Mus musculus: one gene and its partners. The protein of the gene in region 2 interacts with the protein of the main gene of each other region in a pairwise test. Links are inferred from orthologs where the notes say so. Each region holds a gene or a part of one and is shown on either strand. Other genes may lie near its edges.

Evidence for each region.
Region 1: the proteins of Dmrtb1 (region 2) and Pkp2 interact in a two-hybrid assay, tested with the Homo sapiens proteins (2 studies listed by BioGRID). The link is inferred for Mus musculus from reciprocal best matches to the Homo sapiens genes DMRTB1 and PKP2.
Region 3: the proteins of Dmrtb1 (region 2) and Qk interact in a two-hybrid assay, tested with the Homo sapiens proteins (2 studies listed by BioGRID). The link is inferred for Mus musculus from reciprocal best matches to the Homo sapiens genes DMRTB1 and QKI.

What each region holds. Positions count from the first base shown.
Region 1 is NC_000082.6:16,211,152-16,218,441, reverse strand, and holds the start of Pkp2 (plakophilin-2), read right to left. Parts: upstream 5,098-7,290; 5' UTR 5,070-5,097; coding exon 4,847-5,069; intron 1-4,846. UniProt on the Homo sapiens protein: A component of desmosome cell-cell junctions which are required for positive regulation of cellular adhesion.
Region 2 is NC_000070.6:107,679,733-107,687,172, forward strand, and holds the start of Dmrtb1 (doublesex- and mab-3-related transcription factor B1), read right to left. Parts: upstream 4,499-7,440; 5' UTR 4,431-4,498; coding exon 3,848-4,430; exon of another isoform or gene 3,734-3,847; intron 1,515-3,733; exon of another isoform or gene 1,376-1,514; coding exon of another isoform or gene 1,276-1,375; intron 1,123-1,275; coding exon 914-1,122; intron 1-913.
Region 3 is NC_000083.6:10,314,265-10,321,739, forward strand, and holds the start of Qk (protein quaking), read right to left. Parts: upstream 5,098-7,475; 5' UTR 4,610-5,097; coding exon 4,468-4,609; intron 1-4,467. Other genes in the region: uncharacterized protein Gm46608, read right to left, coding at 5,455-6,081. UniProt on the Homo sapiens protein: RNA reader protein, which recognizes and binds specific RNAs, thereby regulating RNA metabolic processes, such as pre-mRNA splicing, circular RNA (circRNA) formation, mRNA export, mRNA stability and/or translation.

The sequences.
Region 1 (7,290 bases), on a different chromosome or scaffold from region 2:
CTGAATAAACCCTTTCCTTCCCGACTGTTTCTTGGTCATGATGTTTGTGCAGGAATAGGAACCCTGACTAAGTCAGATGGTAATGGTGTACTGTGTTTTTAAATGCTGCGGGCTACTTTTAAATACTTACATTTAGGCCTGTATACTAAGCTGTTAATCAGATCTTTAAACACTTTAATGTGTCTTTCAACCTCATATCCAATGTATAAATGACATACAATAGATTTTTTTTAATGTGTCTCTTATAGTCATCATAGCCTTCCCAATCCTGTGGCCCTTTAATGTGTTCCTCATGTGTTAGGACCACCAACCATAAGATTATTTCATTGCTACTTCATAACTGTGATTTTGCTACTGTTATGAATCGTAATGTAAATATCTGCTGTTCTATCATAAAGGAAACTTTATAAACTGTTTATTCTTAATTTAGTGAACTGAAGGGAAGAGGTTACTTTGGCACAAAGATTAAAAAATATCTTAATTCATGGTCTATATCTAGTCTTGCTTAGTGTTTCCTTCCCAAAGTGGAGCATGGGACTTGTGAGTAAATACATTTGGATATATGCACAAAATAGAGGTCTACATTTATATCAGAATTAAATAATTTGAGTATTTTGAAGATCATCTGGGTGGGAACCAAATACTCATTGTAGATCACATTAATCAAATCTGGTGTTTGAGTCATGCATTTCTTATTAAGTTCTATATCAATATCAGTGTTGAACAATATAAAGATAAAATAAAACAAGTCTTATTTTAATACGTGAGAAAAAAGTTTTAAAGTTGATATACAAAAGAATACTGTAAGAGAAAGCACCAACAAGCCACAAATAGCTAGAACAATCAGTTCTTGAGTGGCCTTCTGTTCCCATGACAACAGCACACTAGCACAGGGCTACTGACAGCAGCCAGGTCGTTTCCTTAAGGCAATTCCTGCTCTAAAGAACGGTGTTTTAATCAAATCCTGTGACCCAGGATCTTTGGTTTCTCACAGTTCTGCCGACTCTGCAGTATCCTTACCACCCTCCCACTCAGCCCTTTACTCACAAAAAATATGTTCTTCCCACTTGAGAAGTTTGCTCTTTCTAACCTTCATTTTGTTGGTATTCTATTTTGACAGAGTATAATTAGAAATTTGTAAAAACAGAAAACCCTCCCATAAAAAAATTACATTACCAAATCTGAATGAAAATATGCTATGGGATAACACAGAAGTCACTGTACGCTGAGGCCTGAAAGACACTCACACTCACAGCAGTGTGGGCACAGTCCCACCACTGGCTTCTCCCCTCCTGTCTCCTTCCTCCTGAATGACTAACCCTCTCACTCAAGAGTGACTCATCCATGTAATACCCTTTAGCAAAGGAGTCTTACAGTGCAAAGCTTTATGCTATTTTATCTTGTTAGCTTAGCATTGGTTTTACATTAAAATTGAATTTCTAGTCTAGTTAAAAATCATTAAAAGCTTTTATTTTACTTCTCTGAAAGGGCAAGTCTATTGTTGGCAACTATAAATGACAATTATGAAACAATTTCTCTTTGCAGCAGCACCTGTTAGCTGGCTTTGTGTTACGAACAGGGTTTTATGCTATAGACTAGGCTTGTCCTAAACTCACAGCCATTCTCCTGCCCCAGCCACCTCAGTGCTGGGATTATGAGCATGAGCCACTACACTTGGCTTTTCTAACTGCACCATTTGAAGCCCAGGATAAATGTGTAGTCCTCTCTCCAGAATCCACTCTAATCTCCAGTACTGATAGTTGCTTCTTCAGGAAGTCGTGTAAGTAACAAGCATGGCTAAAGTTTTTATGGTAGCTCTTCAAAGACCTTGTAAAATGAATTGGAATATAGTTCACTGTGCGTTATAAGCATTACATACTACAATTTCTTCCTATTTGGGCACTGGAGAGAGAGAGAAAGACAAGGTAGTAAGTAAAACTGTTTTACACTATAGTCATTTTTTGCTAGCTTTGCTAGCTTTCTTTGCCACTTTTAAATGTTTCATTCTGACTTTTATAGATTTTAAAATTTGGTAAAACATATACATATTTTATAATGCAGCCACACACACACCGTTGAACCTAAGAGATAAAACTGACTTTAAAATATTCACCAGTTTAAAATGATACCAAAAGTCAGTGAGTGATTTCCAGGGAAACCATACACCGTAAGAAAGCCACGGAGGGTGAAAAAGCCTTACAAGGCATTAACCACAAACCTTTCGGCAGACTGTCTGCTGCCTCATCCTTTCTGGTATGTCAACAATCCAGAATTCTCCAGGGTACTGGGGCTAAGGGCAGTAACATCAGGGTCACTCTTTCCAGATCAGCACTGTTTCAGTGCTGTGTTTCCACACTACAGACAGGACACGGATATAAGGAAAATATAAAGCAATCCAGCCACTCTAAGTCCCAAACACTTCCAAAGTACTTCAGTTAAACAGGTGGGAGTCACCTCCTGCTGCTGCTCCAGGGTACAGGGAAGCCCGGTCCCTGTAGCTGACCTCCTTCAGAGTAGGGGTCTGATGCCTTACCCCCGCCTAAGCTGCACTTCTCTGCAGCCTGCCAAAGAGCTCTGTGGTAATCAAAAATAGCTCAGGGCTTTATCCCTTAGTTGGAAAAAACCACTCAACGGAACAGAAGCACCAAGGCTGAGTCTTTGTTCTCTCATGTCAACTCGGCACTATGAAATATCCGTGCACACTTCTACAGTAACGCATGCATCTCCAGCTATGCTCCCTGCACAAGCCTAATAAACTTCTGAGATTTAAAGCTCCTAGTTTCAGAGTGTGGGGGTGGGACTGGTGAGCTAATATCACAGTTCCTCCAAACAGATTTTCAAAATTCTCTTTGGCTGGGAGAACTTTGCATTTGAAAGCTCTGTGGCACCCTTGCTGTTCTCTGGGTACTTAGGGCTTTTGATTCATGACTGCATTTCCTTGGGTTTAAACTTCTTGTTACAAAGCACACCAAATGTGTGTTTAATTCAGCACCAGAATGATGCCCCTTGGAGAAGAACACGTTCAGTGGCAGTGGTTGAATTCACCAAACAGCTCCTGTATTATTCCGTAGAGAGGAGACACCAATTTTCTAGGACTTGGACCATCATCCTACAGCTGTTGATAGATATATGCCTCCCCCCACTCCACCCCTAAAATGATCACCTTATAGTATCTAGCTCATCTACCTTTCCAATTCCATTTAAGGACATAACAGAATGGAAATGCATGAAATTGGAGATGACCAGCTGCCATATGATAGCAAAGTGCTTAGCAAAGCTCCCTGTTCCTTCCTCCTACACTGGACCCCCACCCCCACCCCCACTCCCACCATTTGTTTACTAGTTGATGCCTGCTTGTTCTTCTGGCTGGCCACCCTTACAAGATAAGGAAGAAGGCTCTTCAGTTCCACGTTAGCACTGGGCATGAGGCTTTTCACACTGCAGGATGCAATGGCAGGACTAGCCAGACACTGCCCTCAGTCATCCTGGAGTCCTTTGCCACATTCCTAACCCTAAGGTTTGCTTTTTCTTCTCACCAGGAACTAAAGCAGTTCTTTCCTGTGTAAACCTTTCCATCCTCTTAGAACTTCCTTAGTTTTACTTAGAGGAAAAGGAGTCGTTACAGGGAAGTTTAGTTCCCAAGTAATTTCATTTTGTGTTAGTAATCAAACACTTAATATGTTAACTCATGATCGACTTAAAACTCCACATTTTGGCTTTTATATACCACCTATGCCACTTTCTGTCTGGAATCTTGACTGTTTTATTTGCTCAGTTTCCTTGTCTCTAAGCTTGGATCCACAGTAAACCCAGCCCATGTCTGTAATCTCAGCACATGGGAGACGGAGACGGGAAGTTTGAGGCTGCATCTTAAAAATCGTATCTATATCTACACATATGGAAAGAGAAAGGAAAAAAATACACAGTTCATTTTAAGAAGATAATATAAAGTGCGAACCACATAGCCTAATTAGGGACGTTACAGGCACTCACTTACATGAGCTTGCAATCATTAAACACCTCTTTACTTTTCAAGTATGCAAACATCAACTGCCCTAACCTTTAGACAAACTGAAAAGCGGACAGCCTCCCAGACTCTGCTATTTGAAATCCACATGCTGGCACGGAAGCATTATTATTCTTAATGGTAATCACATTTACCAGAGCTTCTGATCTTTCTGATCAACCACACTTCTGTCAACTAGTCTGTGTGGTGGGGGGTTGATTTTTTTTTTTTTAATGAGGGCGGTTCTGCACCCACGCATCTGTTGGTTCTGGTGTGTGGGTGTGAGGTGGGCAGGCGGGGCTACCTTCAGCCTGGCCAAAGTCTCCTTCCTCCTTATCCTCCGCAGGGTGTTCAGGTTGCTCCCAGACCCAAAGCCGACTTGCTCAATTTGTTTAGTCGCAGATACGGAGTGGAGCACTTGGACGAGGTAACCTCAATTTAGAGGATGGAGGAACCGCAGGGCTTTGAAGGTTTCTTTCTAAAAATATTTATAGAGAGTCGTAAACTCTAAAACATCTCAATAAAAGCCCAAAGCGCCTTATTCCAGAAGATCAATCTTGCATACCAAAGTCTGCATAAAATTTCAAAGTGTTTTTTAGAATCTCAGGGAGAGAACCCGGAGCGAGCGGCGAAGGGTGAAACCGATCGAATTCTTTAATACAGACAATTGTGTAATTAACAAACGAATAAGGTAGACCAGAACCAAAGGTTAGGGAGGAAGCGTGTCCAAAGCGACCAACCACGAGCCGGAAAAGGTAAGGTGAGCAACAGGTGGGCGGGCGGACACCGGTTCGCACCGGGGAGACCTACGACTAGCACGGCGGGTGGGGTTCGACTCACCGCTGACCGCAGAGCTCCGGCCCCGGCGGGCCAGGGTCTGCTGCACCTGCTCCTGGATCCGCTGGCTCCGGGCCGCCGGGTCGCCGCGGCCGCTGCTGCCGGCCAGCCTCAGTCTGGCCTCGGAGGGCAAGGCCAGGCTGGAGCTGTCCAGGTGACCCAGGATCTGCTGGCCCAGCACAGTCCGGATGTAGCCACACTCGGCCAGTGAGCCGGGGACGGCCATCGCGTCGGCGGAGTGACCAGGAGGGACTGCCAGGACCTGCCCGCAAAGCCGCAGAGGCGTGGGGACCGGCAGCAAACCCCGCCCCGCCCCGCCCCGCCCCGCCCCGCCCCGCCCCGTAGGACCCAGGCCCTTAGGGGACAGGGGCGTGGCTCCTGCAAAGCAGGCGCACTCCGCCCGGGGCGAGCACGTCCTCTGAGGCCCCCACGTATTCTCGGCTCGCGAAGGATTGTGGGAGGAGCTGCCCTTAGGACAGGTGCAGCTGGGAACTTCTGCTGTGAGTAGCACATCTAGTTAGTTAGGGTCAGTTACACTGTTCCAAACGTTCACAGATAATGAAACATGTATGAAATAGACGTATTTTAAAGGTTTTTTTTTTTATCCGTAGTACTTCAGGACGCCGAGCTTTTTGTACAGATGGAGCCCCAGAAACATATGTTCTCCCTCAGTGAAAGCCTCTGCTTGCTCTTGCAAATACACAAATTGTACCCAGTGCGCTCTTGTCCACCCACTTCCTTCTTAAGGAACATGCCCACACAGAGAAACTCCAATAAGAGGCCCAGAGAAAAGATGACTTTTAATACTCAGTTTTAATAGCTCTTCTAACGTTGACTAAGCCCTCTTTATGACAAGCTCTTTGCAGGGGAACTCATGAACGAGGTTTCTCACTTAAATCTCCCGAACTTGAGTTTATCATGCTATTAACTATGCTTCACATGCAATTGGGCTAAGAACAAGAGCTAAGCTCAACAGAAGGGTCCTTGAACTTAAAGTTGACAACCGATGCTACTCTCCACATACTGGTATTTAGACTTGGGAGAAGAAAAGAAAAACATCTATGTTTGTTATCAAGTGGGGTCTTTTCCTTTGGTTGCTAGGGTTTGTACCTTTGTTGGAACAGCTAGGGAACACAACTTCTCTTCTTCCCCGGTTCCTAACTAAACAGTTAATGTGGCTTCCTGTTTTGCCTTCGAGCATCGAGGAAATCAGGGACGAGTCACTCTTTCTCCACAGGCCACATAGTCAAAGGTCATAAGGAAAGCTCTGGAGGTGGGAGCTATGAGGTCAGCAAAAGCAACTGGGCCAGTCTTTAGGTAAATTGTGCCCAAAAGCTTGGCTTGCCAAGTCAGGTGTAAATAATGTACAGATGTGATGCTGAGAGCTTACCGAAAACAAGAATGTTATGACGGTTAAATTACAGCAACAAATCCTGTCACCAGCCCCTTGTAAGCAACCTGTTTCCCTTCATCTATCTCCTAGCTCCTTCTGAAAGTCCCAGGTCTGTTGCTTTAAAAGATAACTGCAGCGCCTGCTTCTGCAGGGCCAGGACTCACTCTGGCTTCTGTACCTGGAGAACTATGATTGGTAAGGTCCCATTCTGCTTTCTTCAGCAAGAGACAAACAGGAAATTTCTCTTATTTATCTTAGGAAGTGTAACTTCACTTTCCTGTTTCTTGTCAAATCACTTTTTAAAAGTTCTGTTGTAATTGATTATCTTATTATGCAGGCTCCAATAAATGAGGATATCTTGTAGTTGGTAGTTGGATGGTTTGATAAAAGAATGGCAATTAGAAATTAGCTTACAAGTGAAGGAGGATATACATCTAATTTAGCTTATCCTTTGGTATGGCTAAATAACATAGCCTCTATCCTCCCCAGGTTCCTAACCATACAATTAATGTAGAGCTATGTAGCGTCCTGTTTTACCTGAGGATCAAGGAAGTGAAAAGGAAATAGGGACTAGTCATCCTTTCTCTACAGGCCACATGGTCAAAGGTCATGAGGAATGCTCTGGAAGTAGAAGCTATGAGAACAGCAGGCCTTGGGAACACCAAGTGGTGGGTCATAAGCAGTGCTCTGCATATTTTTACATGTCAACATCCTGTCTGTAAATGGGAATAATAAATGTACCTACACATAGTGTTGCCATGATCACTAAACAAAGAATTGTACATAAGTGTTCAACAGCCCTTAGAAGTCCATTCTTGAGTCTCTGACTTTCTTCACGTCTTTATCATAGATCCCCATCTTACTTAAATGGTATTCTTTCACAATCACTCATGTATGAGCACACATGCGTGCGCGCACACACACACACATACACACACACACACACACACACACATACATATTCACTGTTTCTCTGCACATTTTTTCCACAGATTTTATTTTAATCACTTGTTCTGGTGATTTAAAACAAAAAGGCCCTCACAGACTCATATAT
Region 2 (7,440 bases):
CTTTCCCTAAGGGATCTGGGCGAGCAGAACTCCCAAGGGTGCAGGGCTGGGAGGAAGGAGGATTGCTCTCTGGGCTTTGTCCCCCTCTCCTGGGCAAATGGGACTAGAGAAAGCACACAGAATAGCATTAAGTAGGCAAGGATAAAGGCGGGGTGTCTCTGGGTGTCTGGAGCATGTGGCCAAGGCAGGGCCACATGAGTGAAAATAGACTCCTGCTCTTAGGTTGGATCCAGACGTGATGAGCATGGAAGGGGAAATTGTCAGCATTGGAATTCCAAGCTCCCAGACAAGTCTCTCCTTAGAACAAAGCTCCTGCCTGGGCCAGTATGGCAGCTCAGTCCCAAACATGGGCCTGAGTCGCACCTTTCACAAAGGTGTCTGGTAGACCTGTCATTCAGAACCCTGCCGTGCATGTCAAGTCCAGACTTCTGGGTAAACAGACGGTGTGCTGCAGGCTGCCCTTGGTCACAGCCTCTCTTTGTCTGGGGGCCAGTGGCACCTGCTCTCCTGGACTGTGGTAGCGGCCGACGGGAACAGCCACATCTTTCAGGCTGGCATGGAAGTCAAGAGCTAGGTTTGCTGTACCTCGGGGACACACTTGAGATAGCAGAGCATGCCTGGGCTTGAGGCAGGGCATCTCTGACTCCATACCAATCAGCCAAGTGTGCTGCATCCCAGGCCTCATTCACAGTCCTGTGGCATTGGGGCTCGGCAGCAGGAAGGCGTCTCTGGCAGCTGCATTGCACGGGTTAAGACTACAGTCGCCCCTGGGCTCCAAGTCTGAAGAGCAGACACCACACCCCGGGCCCATTCCCCCTTATGACAACCAGCTCTCTGGGACTGAGGGCCAGGGAAAGTGATAAGAGCGGCTGGGGTAAGAACAGGCTTAGACAGGAGTCAGGCTCCAACTTACCAAGCCGCTTCTATGGTAGGGGCTGCAGGAGACATGCCGGAAGCCTCTTTGTTGAGGGACCCCCAGAGCAGAGGATGAATCCTGGCCTTCCGAAAGTGGAAAGGACTGGTAGGGTGAAACAGGGACGCAGGCAGGGCACTGCTTGAACGGCTCTCTCTCAGGATTCCCAGCTCCTACCACATGATCAGACTTGAATCTCAGAGGATGCCCTAAGAAGATAAACAGAGAGGGGAAGTGTTAAGAACACAAACCTGAGGGGTGAATGCATTGCTGTCTCCCGGGCAACAGAGAGATTGACACAACCGACTAAAGCAGTCTCTAGTCAGACATCCCACTGGGCTTCTTTATACTCTTATACATACACAGATAATGTATTCTGGTCACATCCACAACACGAGCCCTCTCATCCCCTCTCCTTGTCACTGATCCTTTCTGCCATTTGTCCTCTTTCTGCCTTAACATCTCTTTGGGTATGTATGTGAACCAGTAAGATTAGCTAAGGCTACTTTCAGGAACATGGGTGGCCACACCACTGAATAATTAATAACTACTAATTGCCTACAGATCCTCATGACCCTAACCCCGTGCAGGCAGTAGGCTGCCAGTGAGCTAGTGAGTAGAATGGACAAGCTATGCTTGCCACACTCCACCCCTTCTCCTGGCTCTTGTATTCTTTCCCTCTCCCCTTCATGCTGTCCCCTGGGACCTGGTGGAGGTGATGATGGAGATTCCATTTGGGCTGAGCATTTAACACTCACTCTACGACCCTTTAACCACTTCAGAGTCTAACAGTAACGGCCATGCAACACTAGCAGCAACACTCTAGCACACCGGTGAGATTCCCAGTCCCCCCCTTGGTTCAGCGCTGTGTTGGGCAGAGACAATGGGAGCCCTTGGCTTTGGCTGCAGTCAAGCTGTTCCCCGGGGTTGGTGCATCAGGAGGGGACAGGACAGGACGTCTAAGCCACCGTGTGGTGGTTCTCACCCACCACTGGACTCTGCTTCAGTTTCTGTTCCTGGCAGTGCTGGTGTGAACAGCACAGCCCAGGCACTTCCTCTGCAGTCACAGACACCATCTCTCCTCTTCATTTTTAACCCCACTGTCCCTGAACACTCAGCCATGCTGTTTTGCCCACATGCAGGGCCCACCTCTCCTACTTAGTAAACTCTCTGGAAACGCCTCCCAAGATGCATCCAGACAAATTCCTGCTTTCCTCATCCAGGTTTCTCACCAATCCATCTGACAATCGAGAGTAGCACCATCAGAGCCAGCAAGATGGCTAAAGGCACCTGCCACCAAGCCTGACAGCCACTGCTCCATCCCAGGGACCCATGAGGTAGAAGGAAAGAACCGGTTTCCCAAAGTTGCCCTCTGACCTCTCCTCCACACATGCTGGGATTAGCCACAAGTGGCCTCTTCTCCCCCCCTCTTTATAACACATTTTAAAGTTCCTGTTTGTTGAGAGATGAACACACATATGCCCTCATAGGACTGCTGGTTTATTTAAGTCTGCCTTCCTCATCAGACAGATAGTTCCTTGGGGAGAAAGATTTCTTACAAAATCTCAGAAACATTAAGAATGATTAGCATTGGAGCGGAGTGTGGTGGCGCATGCCTTTAATCCCAGCACTTGGGAGGCAGAGGCAGGTGGATTTCTGAGTTCGAGGTCAGCCTGGTCTACAAAGTGAGTTCCAGGACAGCCAGGGCTATACAGAGACCTGTCCAAAAAAAAAAAAAAAAAAAGAAAGAAAGAAAGAAAGAAAAAGAAAAAGAAAAAGAAAAAGAAAAGAAAGAAAAAAAAGAGAAAAGAATGGTTAGCATTAATTTCTGAAAGTCTGCTCTTCAAGGAAGGAACTTGTCCAAGGCTACACATGGGCATCCCCTCGACTCAGACTCTTTCTACATAGCCCTAAGGAAAGTAACCCCCTCTACCCCCCCCAAAAACCCAAGTCTTCATCCCAAAGAGCCGCATTCCAAGAGCCTCAAATTTTACATTACTTGAAAACATACTTCAGGGGCTAGAGAGGTGGCTCAGCGGTTAAGAGGTTAAGAGCACCGGCTGCTCTTCCAGAGGTCCCAGGCTCAATTCCTAGCACCCATGTGGCAGCTCACACCTGCCTGTAATTCTAGTTCCAGAGGATAAGACACCCTCACACAGACATGCATGCCGGCAAAACACCAATGCATTATAATAAATAAATTATAAGATATAAATATAATTTTAAAAAAACTCAAGAAATCTACTTCAACCAGGAAAGCAACCTACAGCATAAAGAAACAATGTAATTAATGCACAAAGCGAGGGGGAAAAAAAATCTTAGTGAACCAGCCCATCCCCCTGGCCAACTAGCAGAAAGTTTTATTCCCCACCACATCAGGTGAAATGGAACAAGTGAGTGTGAGTACAGGTGCGTTAGGCTAGACACTGCAGTTAGGATAAATTAGCCTCGGCTCAGTGAAAGGAGGGTGCGCAGGCGCAGTTTAAGGTGAACAGCCACTCAGAAAAAGACTCTCCAGCAGGAGAAAAATGGCAGGCGGGGAGGGGGAGGGGTTGCCACGCAGGCACAAGAGATCTAGACCTGGGAGGGGGGAAGGGATGCCGTGCAAACGCGCTAGAGGGGCCACGGAAAGGCGCCACTGCCAAAGCTGCCCAGCTGCCATCTTTTTTTTCCTCTTGCAAAAGTACAGAGGCAGAAAACTGCATCTCAACAAAGCCCCCCTGCACTGCACATTCTTCCCTACCAGCTTTTTCCCATTGCTATCATCAGAAGCCACCCACCCAAATCCTTGTCTGGGAACAGGTTCTCAAGCGGGGTTACCTGGGGAAGGCGCCTTTCCCACCCCGGCACCAGTCTGGGACTCCAGCTTAGAGCCGGAGGCTGCTGGCCTGGTACAGGCCGGAGGAACCGTCGGCTGCACGAGGCTGGGCTTACCGTAGTCGGCGAACGGCAGTCGGGGCACGGGCCGCACTGGCCCTGGCACTGGCACGGGCCGCACTGGCAGGTGCTGATCCGGGTAGCAAAGCTCCGGCCTGGGCGCCTGTGGCATGAGCTGGGGCAGCCACGCGGAGGAACGGTCGCGCAGTCCCCCGGGGGCCCCTGGTCCAGGCTGGAAGGTGCTGGGGCCCGGGCGGCCACTTGGGCCCAGCTGGAAGGTGCTCGGGCCTGGGCTCGGGGCCTGCGGGGGCCTCTCGAGGAAGCAAGTGGCCGTGGGGCCTGGCCCAACGCCTCCCGGAACCGCCCTAGGCAGTGGGCAAATGCTGGAGCTCAAGGCGGTGGCCGCCGCTGCTGGAGCCCTAGGAGGCAGCTGGGGACCCTGCGTGCCCACGGTCGCCACCTGCTCCTCGGCAGCTTGGGTTCTGAGAACCTTCTGGGCAGCCATGATCTTCTGGCGCTCGGTGATCAGGTAGCACTTGTCACAGATGCACTGCTTCCAGCGGCATTTGCCCGTATGGCCCTTGACTGGTACCAGATAGCCATGGTTCCGGCACCTAGAGCACTTGGGGGCGCGAAGCATCTTGTCGTCTAGCTGGGCAAGCTCTGCTTCCAAACGCAGCCACCACTTCCCGAAGCTGCAGAGCAAGTGAAGCAGGAATGAGCGGTGCCCCCATAAGTCCCTGGTGCTGGGGACATTGGATACACTTGTAACAAAACAGCTCGCTGAATGTCCGGAGAACTGCAATAGGACTCTTGCATTTTTTCCACTTTCTGTGTGTGTGTGTGTGCTAAATTTACCGTGTTTCTGTGTGTTGGGCAATGGTGTACGGTGTAAATTAAAAATGAAATACTTATTACATGTATGTCATACGAGTTATTTGAAGTTTTCGGCACTTGAATTTTCAAACTTCCTGTTCCCGCCAAATTGTAACTGGAAAATAGATTTTTTTTTTTTTTTTTTTTTTTGAAAAAAGGCGGACTTCTACTCAACGGTCGAGGGTTTTAAAACTCCCAATGAACAGAGCTGTTAGTAAACCCGTACTATTGGAAAGTTCCAGAGAACACTGTGTTTTTCCTCCCCGAAGCAGCTGCTTCTGCTTCATCTCGCTCCTCTGTAGAGAAAAAGAGCAGTTCTGCTTCCAGAATATTCTTCAGCGCTTAGTGCAGTGTTGGTTACTTACAGGCATTGCAGAAACCATGAGTTTTTGAGTCCTGTTTGTGTAAGCACTAGGGTCTGAAAAATGCATGCTTAATAATGTTCTAAAGTGCCGGGCGTTGGTGGCGCATGCCTTTAATCCCAGCACTTGGGAGGCAGTGGCAGGCGGATTTCTGAGTTCGAGGCCAGCCTGGTCTACAGAGTGAGTTCCAGGACAGCCAGGGCTACACAGAGAAACCCTGTCTCGAAAAACAAAAAACAAAAAGCAAAAACAAAAATAATGTTCTAAAGCAAAACATGATAGTTCGGAACTAATTTGAATTACTGGCTTTTGGGTTTGTTTGTGTGTGTGTGTGTTTGTGTGTGTGTGTGTGTTTCTTGTTTCATATGGTCTTTTAATTGTCTTTATGAAGCCAAACACAACTACTTAAAAAAAAATTCCCTAGCCACTGGAAATACATTGATGAAGCATGCATACTTCTCTCAGGAGAGGGGCCATATAAGTAAACATTTGCAAGAGCCTTCCTCAGACATCTGCTCACCCAGTATAGGGCACACAGCACGGTGTGTTCAGACCTAACTTAGGGGGGCTTGCCCCTCCAGGATGGCCTTTATTCCCAGAATCTACCAATATCACAAGGAGCCACAATTTGCTTGTTTTGTGACAAAGCATGTGTTCCAGTCGGTTCACTCTGAGAGAAGGGGAGCTCCCAGCTTTGGAGAGTAATTCCACCCAAAAGAAAAAAAAATCACATACATGCACACACACACACACACACAAGCAAGCACAATCTCCATGAAAAAAAATCTAATAGCCTACATACAACCTGTCATTTAAATATATATACATATATGTGTGTATACACACACATACACACGCGCGCGCGCACACACACACACACACACACACACACACACGCTATCTGCCTCCTGAGTGCTGGGTTAAGGGCATGCACCACTACGCCAGGCTGTGGTTCTTTTTTTTTCCTTTTCAAAAGAAATATCTATGGTGTCTTTCAAAAGGTTTTCAAAAGGTAAAGACAGGCAGTGCTTTAAATAGTAAGCAGGCCATCTCAGAGGGTCAGAAGCAGCGCGACTATGTTCAGCGCGACTATGACTAAGATCAGAACTAAAAGACTACAAAAGTGGAACTATATCCCTACACCGTGCAGATTCCCTGGAGCTCCCTAAAGCCAGAAAGAAGTCTTACCCCACTGCATTAACTGTAGGATCTGTCCCAGCTGAGTCCCCGCGGTGGCCATCCTGACTCGGGCTGCTGTAGTTTTGAACCTCAGCAGAAATCGCTGTGGGACTCGGACACCATCTGCCCACTTCCCTCTGGAGAATGCACTGCAGTGACTCTATGGGGGGGGGGGGGGGGTAAAGCCCGGGTTTCCAGCAGACCGCCTTCGGCCCTGGGGTCAGACAACTTGGCTGGCGCTGGCTGGCAACTTCGACTGCCGGTCTGTACACTTCCAGTTCCCGCCATTACGGCGCCCTTGGCATCACCCATTTTCTGGAAGGTACAAAGCCCGCAGCGGCAAGATCACGGTCTTTTACGACCACCACTTCAAAGATTGGTCCGTACTTTGAGAAGAGCTAGCCTAGAGACTCACTGGTCTTAGTGGCTCACTGGTGTAGAAACTCGGCGAGCCTCAGAAAAGAGTGATTCTAGCTCACGTGGAAGCCGTGGCTGAGCCAGCGAATCTTTCATCCCTGACTCGGGGTTGGGGAAGACCTGGCACTGAGTCGCCTGAGCCTCCTGACTGGAGAGTCTGGGCTGTTTTAATTCTCGTGAATTTAGTTATTTCTGTGAAGCAACCAAAATCTTAGAAAGGCTAGCACATGGCACAGGCTTCCTAGTGGCTTTGTTTGTGCTGGGCATGGAACCCGGGCCTTGAGCATGTTAGGCAAGTTATCCAACTAAAAATCCCACCTTTTATTTTCCCTTCTTTCCTTCCCTGCCTCCCTGCCTCCCTCCCTCCTTTTTTCTTTGTGTAGAATCTAAGTGAAGTTACTCAGGCTGCCCTGGAGCCCCCTCAGAAGCCCTGCTGTGGACCCCGAACCCCAGATCACCTGACTTAAGCTTCCCATGAGGTTCAGTTACAGCCAGATCCAGCTACAAACATTAATGACAGATATTAAGTTATTCATAAATTTATTTTTATAAAAGTTTGTGGCACTCTTGAGGGGTGTCATCTGAAGTGGGTAGGGACACAATAATACCTAAGCTTAGGGCACGATCTGCTCTATTTTTGTTTTGTTTTTGTTTTTCGAGACAGGGTTTCCCTGTGTAGCTTGCTCTGGCTACCTTCAAACTCACAGAGATCCCCCTGCCTCAGCCCCCCCCCCCCCCAACTGGGTCTAAAGGTGTGAGCCACCATCCTGCGGCTCGTTCTGTTTAAGGAGGTATTTCTGCTTACTAGCTAGCTCA
Region 3 (7,475 bases), on a different chromosome or scaffold from region 2:
GTTGACATACTAGGAGCACAAAGTTGCTCAGTGCGCTATTTTCTGAGTTATCAACAAACAAAACCTAATAACGTCACAGCACATTCCATTTCAGACAGAAAGGGAGAATTTTTGCTTACAACAGCATCAAACAAACGGAATTTCTCAAATAAATCAAAATGCAGGTCCTATGTTTATATAAAGCTGTCCATATAATCAAATGGTTTAATTAATTCTTAGTACCAAAAACAAAAGAAAAGCAAAAAACTATCCATCTAAATACAGCAGCTGAAAAAGGTGCTTCTTTACCCTGCTTTATCAAGGGTCTCAGCAGCGCAGGGTTATACTTGTCAGATTTTGTCACAGGACTCTGCTTCCCTTTTGGATACTAAAAATCACTTGATCTGATGGAACACTTGTTAGACACCAGCTTCAGGACAGAGATGGGGCCATGATTAACAGAGATACACAATGTTCAAACCACCTAAAAAGCCAAATGCTGATCTGAGACAGCTCTGAAGGTCCCTATCATCAAACACACCCACTCTCACGCAAATGAGAATTTTTATTTTACCGTTCTCATACTCATCTCAGAAAAGGCAATGATAGCAAATATACTAGGAAATGTGACGCTCTAAGCCCTATTTCTACTATAAACTTAATTGTGCTATTGTTTAACAGTACAACCTTAACTATAAAACATGATGAAGCTTACCACCTCCAACTCTAGAGCAGTGTGGTGTAAATGCAGAATAAACTCGCAAACGATTGTTTCCATTAGACCCACACAGAGCTGTGCTATCTCCTGAGGAGCATAGTGGAGAGAACTGGTGAAAAATAGCAGCTTATTACAAAAGCAATGGATTGCAAAAGCAATGTCCTAGTTCCTAAACAAATTAACTACCCCATCTTACATAAAATATGCTTGACACAATAACTACTATCAATAATGACTTGCTTTTTAGACAAAAGAAAATCTAAAAATTTACCAAACTATATCACCTATGTCCTTTCAGTATCTACGGCCATGCAAAGTTTTAAGCCATAGTGTTTATGGACAAACAAGACTTTTCAAAAAGAAAAGAATTAAAATTCAAGAAAAGCAGAGGTATGACATCTGCAACACTGAACACATTCTCAAAGATAAACAGCAAAGCCGATTTTAATTGAAAATTAAGATCAGTTAGGGAGCAGGAAATTTTATGAAAAAGGGTTATCTAAAACTAAAAGCATTTTTAAATCATTCATGCAAAATCTAACATATTTGTTTACTTTTCCTAAATTATACTCTAGTTTTTCTGACAAGCTTCTGTAAAAATATTCAGACTGCCCCCTTTCATCAAACCACACCCTTCTCATTTTCATAAAAGCAGCCTCTCTCTCATAATCATGGAATTAAAACTGGAAATTCGATGCTCATGTATCACATTCTTGCTTTTCTCTACTTGTTATTTGTGTTATTTACTGCTGCACGTCTTCATATTAAATTACAAAATGTTTATTTTTTAAAAATGTTTTGCATTTAACTCGTTTTCATTACAAAGAAAAGTCTTTAAGATAATTTGTGTGTAACTTTATCCCAGGGATAAAGTTAAAATCTTAAGAGAAAGCAGTTTAAGACCCACATTTTATTTGTAATCTTCTGCTCACCTCTAATTAAATGATCCTTTAAGTCTTAGAAGTATTAACTCAAGTTATAGCTTTTATTTAAGAATTGCCCTGGCCTAAAATATATTGTTAGCTTTAAAACAAAACTATCCTGCTAAAGATGCTAGGAAAGAAAGACTGACACAACTCACCAAGCAGAACTAACAGCCAACACAAGGACTGAGTTACTACTACCTAAGTTAAAACTATGGACTACTTTCTTTAAGCCAGCAAGAATTAATATACGATTTCTCTTCTATCATTCAAGTTTTAACAAGTAGAAAACTAACATATTTCATTCCCAAATTTGTTAAATCAAATGAAAATTCTCAAACAGAAACTATATTAAAAGTTCACTGCTGGAAAAGAATTTTTAAAATAAAACTGCTAAATAGTCCCATTCAAAGTTTCTAATTATCAGAGAGTAGAGTATCTTACTATCACTGAACAGTTTAATCCCTAAAGTGAAACTTAGTTTTATCTGAATTTAAAAGTAATTTTTCTGCCAAGTATTACAGTCAAAGGAAAATGTAATCCCTAACCATAAACAGAAGTCATAATTAATTTGTTTTAGACAATGAGAGGGCACAAGGGGTTAAGGACAAGTTGCCAATTTTCACAATTAAGTCATCTACCAAGAAAATTATGATGGTGCACTTAAAAAGCCAGAATTTTCAAGTCAAATTAAATTTACAGTAAGACTAACAAGTACAGTTAAAAGCTTATAGCACACTAAGGACCAGCCCATTTCCTGCAAGTGATGAAAACAATCACAATCCCCAGTCAATCTCCTGTCTCCTATTAAATCCGAGCTATCTTTACTCTAGCCTAATGCTCAGACACCCAAGAACAAACAGACTAAGGTGAAGATGGAGAAAACATGACAAGGAGACACCAAACATTACTTTGAATATTGTAATCCTGAACTAGCTGTCTTCTACATTTGAAACCCAAAGGGTCACTATTTCTAACCAAGAGAAATAAGCCTGTGCAAAGATTGAAATTCCTCTAGTTGAAAGACTTATGCCAACCTCAAAATAAGGCAGTTATTTCTGATCAAGCTGAAAGAGAACACTTGAACAGCCTTTACAATTAATCTAAGAAACGCCTACTAGTTTTCCTTATAACATATCCAAACTTTTTATAAGTCCACTAAGTCACTTAGGTATACGAAGCATTTTAAGAATGCTTTTTAGTTCATTGTATATGCTGTCTAGTTTGTTGTGTAAGAAATTCCCTCTTGATTGAACTTTTAAAAACTAAATTTTTCCTCATAAATATGCTACTAATATCATAAAAACCAATGCCAAGGAAGAAATATCAATGTATGAGGTGTTTCCGCCCTAATCACATTTGTGAATAGTGACAAATGAAGTCATCTAAAAATTTAAGTTTCAACTGCACCTAATATAGGTCAGATTATTAAGCATACTATTTTGTTCCAAACATTTCCAAGGTTAAAAAAAAATAACTGGCGCCCCTTAGCGCTCACTTTTGGAAATACTCAATTTAAGAGCTCCAGCTTTCTTTTTTTTTTTTTGGACATTCCAGAAAGTTTTCTGCCTCCACAATTTTTCAAATGCCAACACAAATAGGAAAGGCAAAAACCCTTAAAGGGGCAGTTCAAGTTTTTTCTCCAGGGCAATTTAACACTAACAAATATACCAACCCAACAATAAAAAATGCCTCTTTCGATGTGTTGCTGTTGCATGTTCATGTGTAATAGCTGAATGTTTTCTGTTTTAAATACTGCCCAAAGCTCCCCATCCAACGGAAGCTCTGAGGATGACTCTTTAATCATCTTTTAGCTCGGGAGTCTTTTGTTCTTCCCTGACATGCCAGCAGATATCCCCAGCTATCTCTAAAATTTTTCGACATTCTTCTCAAGATCCTAAAATCCATGTTCATCTGTACAACATAGTTTTCCGCTTCCTTTAAACAGTCCACTCAGAGACTTTAAAAGAGAAGACAGAAACTACTCGCTACTCGATTTAAAACAGACTTGTTGGTCCTATCCCACCCCCCAACCCCGCCCCGGGCGTCCACAGAAACCTACAGCTACTGGGAACTAACACTCCAGGTCGCTGCTATGAGTAGTTCCTAAAGGAATTCCAGAGCTGACCAGCATTAATCTCCAGTCAGTCTTCGCTCCCCACAGCGCTCCTAACTCGGCTTGTGCAAACTTCTGCTCTATTTTATCCCCGTCCTTTCAAACTTCCAGCTCCCCGCCCTGCAAACGCAGGCGGCTACGCCGGGAGCGAACCCTCCGCCCCAGTTCTTCCAAACTCGGATTCCGTTCAGGTCTGTCCTCGCGGTATTTCGTACTCCTCCCCCACCACCACCACCACAGACTAAAGAAAAAAAAAAAAGTGAAGTTAAACTCCCAAACAGTTCTCGCTTCCCCAAACAAAAGGACAAAAAGTGTTCTACTCTGTCATTTCGTCCTCGCCTTCGGCCACATAAGCACTACTTTTCTTCGGTACCCTACGTGATTCCTGGACATCTCGGGGTCCGATCGGGTACTGCGGGCCACGCAACTCTACCGAAAAGAGCCCGCTAAGCCGGGGCTCCGCGGGCCAGGCGAGGCGGAGCTCGGGGAATCGCGTGGCCCCGCCGGGCCGGCCGAGATGGCCGGGATGGCGGGGAGCCTAGCCGCCGCGCCGTCGGGAGCCGGCCGCAGCCCCGCAGCCCCGCGCGCTCCCGGGTCCGCCCTCGGGCCTGGCCCGGCCCCGGCCGGGCCGCGAGCCGCCCGCGCCGCCTTTGTGCGCCCGCCCGCCCGCCCGCCTGACCTTCCCGCCGCCCCGCCATCCCGGGCCGCCGCGCCGGGGCCGGGCGCCTCACCTTCGTCCAGCAGCCGCTCGAGGTGGTTGAAGATCCCGCAGAAGTTGGGCAGGCTGCTCATGAGCTTCTTGTCGTTCATCAGCTGCATCAAATAATCTGGGGTGGGCTTCGGCTTCTCCTTCGTTTCCATTTCCCCGACCATATTCCAGGCTCCGCAGCTCACTCCGCCCGCCGCCGCCGCCGCCGGAGGAGAGGAGGGAGGGGCGGGGGCGAGCTCCGGCCGCCGGCCGCTCGGGACGCGGCGTCCCGCTCCGCGCCGGCTCCCGCTCCGGCTCCCGCGCCGAGCCCCGGGGCGGCCGGCTCCGCGCGCCCGCCCGCCCCCCGCAGGCACTTTCGCCCGGCCCGACGCGCCGCGGCCGCCGCTCCTCGGCCGCCCGGCGCGGCTCCCCTCGCGAGGCCGGCGGCAGAGGCGGGTCTCGGGCCGAGCGCGGCGCGGGGCCGCTGCGCCGCGAGGAGCCGGGGGGCCGCTCGTCGGCCGGTCGCGCCGCCTGCGCCGGAGCTCGCGAGTCTGCGGTGCTGTCCGCCGCGGCGCTCCGCGTTACCGCCGCCGCCGCCGCCGCCGCGCTCCGACTGCGCTCCTCCTCTTCCTCCGCGGCTCTCCTCCTCCTCACTCACTTGGCGGCGGAGTTCGCCTCAGTTCAGGCGGCGCCGCCGCCCCTGGCCGCTCGGGCGGGACGGCCGGCGCAGGGCCGGGCCGCGGCGGGGAGGACGCGCGCCGGTGGCCGCCCGCGCGGGGCCGGGGTCGCGGCTGAGGGGGACGCGGGCGGCGGCGCTGGCTCGTCGGCGCGCTGTTGCTGAGGCGGCGGGCGCGGTCGGGTGCGGCGGCTGAGAGGAATCCCGGCGGGACTCTCCGCGACGCGCTGCGCTCGCCGCCGCCCGGGCCTCGCGTCCGCGCGCGTTACTATAGTTTGGGTTTTTTTTTTTTTTCTTAAACCTCTTCGTCCACCTTCCTCGCTACCCCCTCAAAAAAAAAAAAATTTTTTTTTTTTAAACGTCCTGTTGCTTCACTGGGGACTCTCGGGTGGGCGTCACGTGTCCAGACACGTAGCCGAGAGGCTGAGAGCGCGTGCGCGCGTCGAGGACTGTGACCACGCCCCTTCCGAGGGTCGCTCCGCCCCACCTGGCGGAGAGCGCGCCGTGGGGGCGGGGGGTGGGGGGGAAGCGGGCCTGGAGCGCGCCTGCGTGGGGGTGGAGCGGGACGAAGATGGCCTGCGGACGGAGGAGCGGGACCGAACCGTTCTGGCGCGGCGCCCACCTCGCGGGGCGGGAAACCCGGCCGTCGGATCGCTTGGGGTGCGAGGTGGCGGCGGACTGAGTTGGCGTGGGCGCCCACACCGCAAGTGTCTCCGGCGGTAGGGACTCCAGTGAGGTTTCCCCTGGAGCCAGCGCCACGCGTGACGGGCCTCGCGTTGCCGTGGGCTGCGAGGCGGCCCCGGACCGTGGGCGGAGACGGCACACGCGTGCGCACCCACGGGCGTGCGGGCGGGCTCTGTTCCATGCGGCGTGACGCGCGGTTCCGTTAATCCTCACCGCAGGTTCCAGTCCCTGGTGGCGGAGGCGCTGGCTCCTCAGCGGTGCGGCCCCCGCACAAGGGAGCCTGTGTGAGGAGTACATATTCGGGGAAAAAACGAAGTGGCCAACGCCTATTTTTACCTACTTGACAAAAATAAATAAATAAATGACAGGCAGAGGGCCAGGACAGGGGCTTTCTATGGCGTGTAGAGGAAGTTCTGCCGGTTACATTTGTTTCGGAAACAATGTTCCGAATTGCAGCAATGAAGTCCTGCGATTTATAGAAGCTGTCGGTCATTAAATCTGCATCATCCCTGTTTTGTTGCAAGTTCTCTATAACATGCTCCATTAAAATGTAGACAAGATTGTCAAATTAACCATTTTGAGAGTTGGCCCTGGCTATAATTTTCTGGGAATCATCTCACTGTATTTTAAATGTGTACGTAAGCAGGCTAGTTGGATTGCTTTTTTTGTTGTTGTTGTTTTAAACTTTGATTTACGCGATTTCTAAAGAGCATTTTCGAAGTTTGTGTGGTACCAACGGTATTTAAAGCAATTTTACTCTTTTCCTGGCCAGTAGCTTCTGATTATTTTATTTAAAGACTACAGTTTGGGTTGGTTTGGGTTTTGGTTTTCTAGTTGTCCATTAAACTACGTTTTTTAGAGCAAATGATGAACAAAGTTAACATGTAATTGAAATAATTTTAATTTTCCAACAATGGCTATAGTAGTTCTTAGTACTATAGATAATCCCTTAATTATCTCTAAACAATAAATTAGTGAAAGCATGGAATAATTTGATCAAAAAGCTGTTACTACATTTTCTAAATCTTTCTTCAGAATCTAGAAAAAAACGAGGTTTCTTTCTTGTATATTATTAAAAAATATTTTGTCACTGAATTATTATACATTGTCTGTGTTTGTGCAAGAGAAGTCCCCTTTGTAAGTTGGTCACACTTATAGGCCCTTTGGTAACTGCTCTCCCTCTATAGCTCAATCAGAGCAGTCCTGTACCTTAGGCAATCCTGGCAGCCCCAAGTTTTACATAAGAGGAAACCCCTGAAGAGGAAGAGGGAAACTGAATAATTTTATCCAGCACTATAGCCAATGAGCCCTATCTGCTGTTCAAATCCATGTATATTTTATACCAGAGTGCCCCCATCCCCATTTTACTGACCCTATCCAGTAAATCCTTTGAATTCATTACAGTGTTACATAATTTTTGACCCATATGTCCAACCACTTTTATAATGTAGTTGAATGAAAATAATAGGCAATATTCATTCACCATGGCTCAATCCCTGGTGGACCCATCACTTGGAAATAGTAGCCATTTAGTGCATTTTCTCTTCCCCTGCTTAGTTTTGCCTGATTTCTCAGGTTAAGAAAAAAAATATCCAGAGTTTCCCAAGACCTATTAGGCCCCAAGAGATGTTGCTGCCCAAGCTCACTAGATGGACTCCTCATGTGTCTTGACCTCTACACATGCTTGGCAT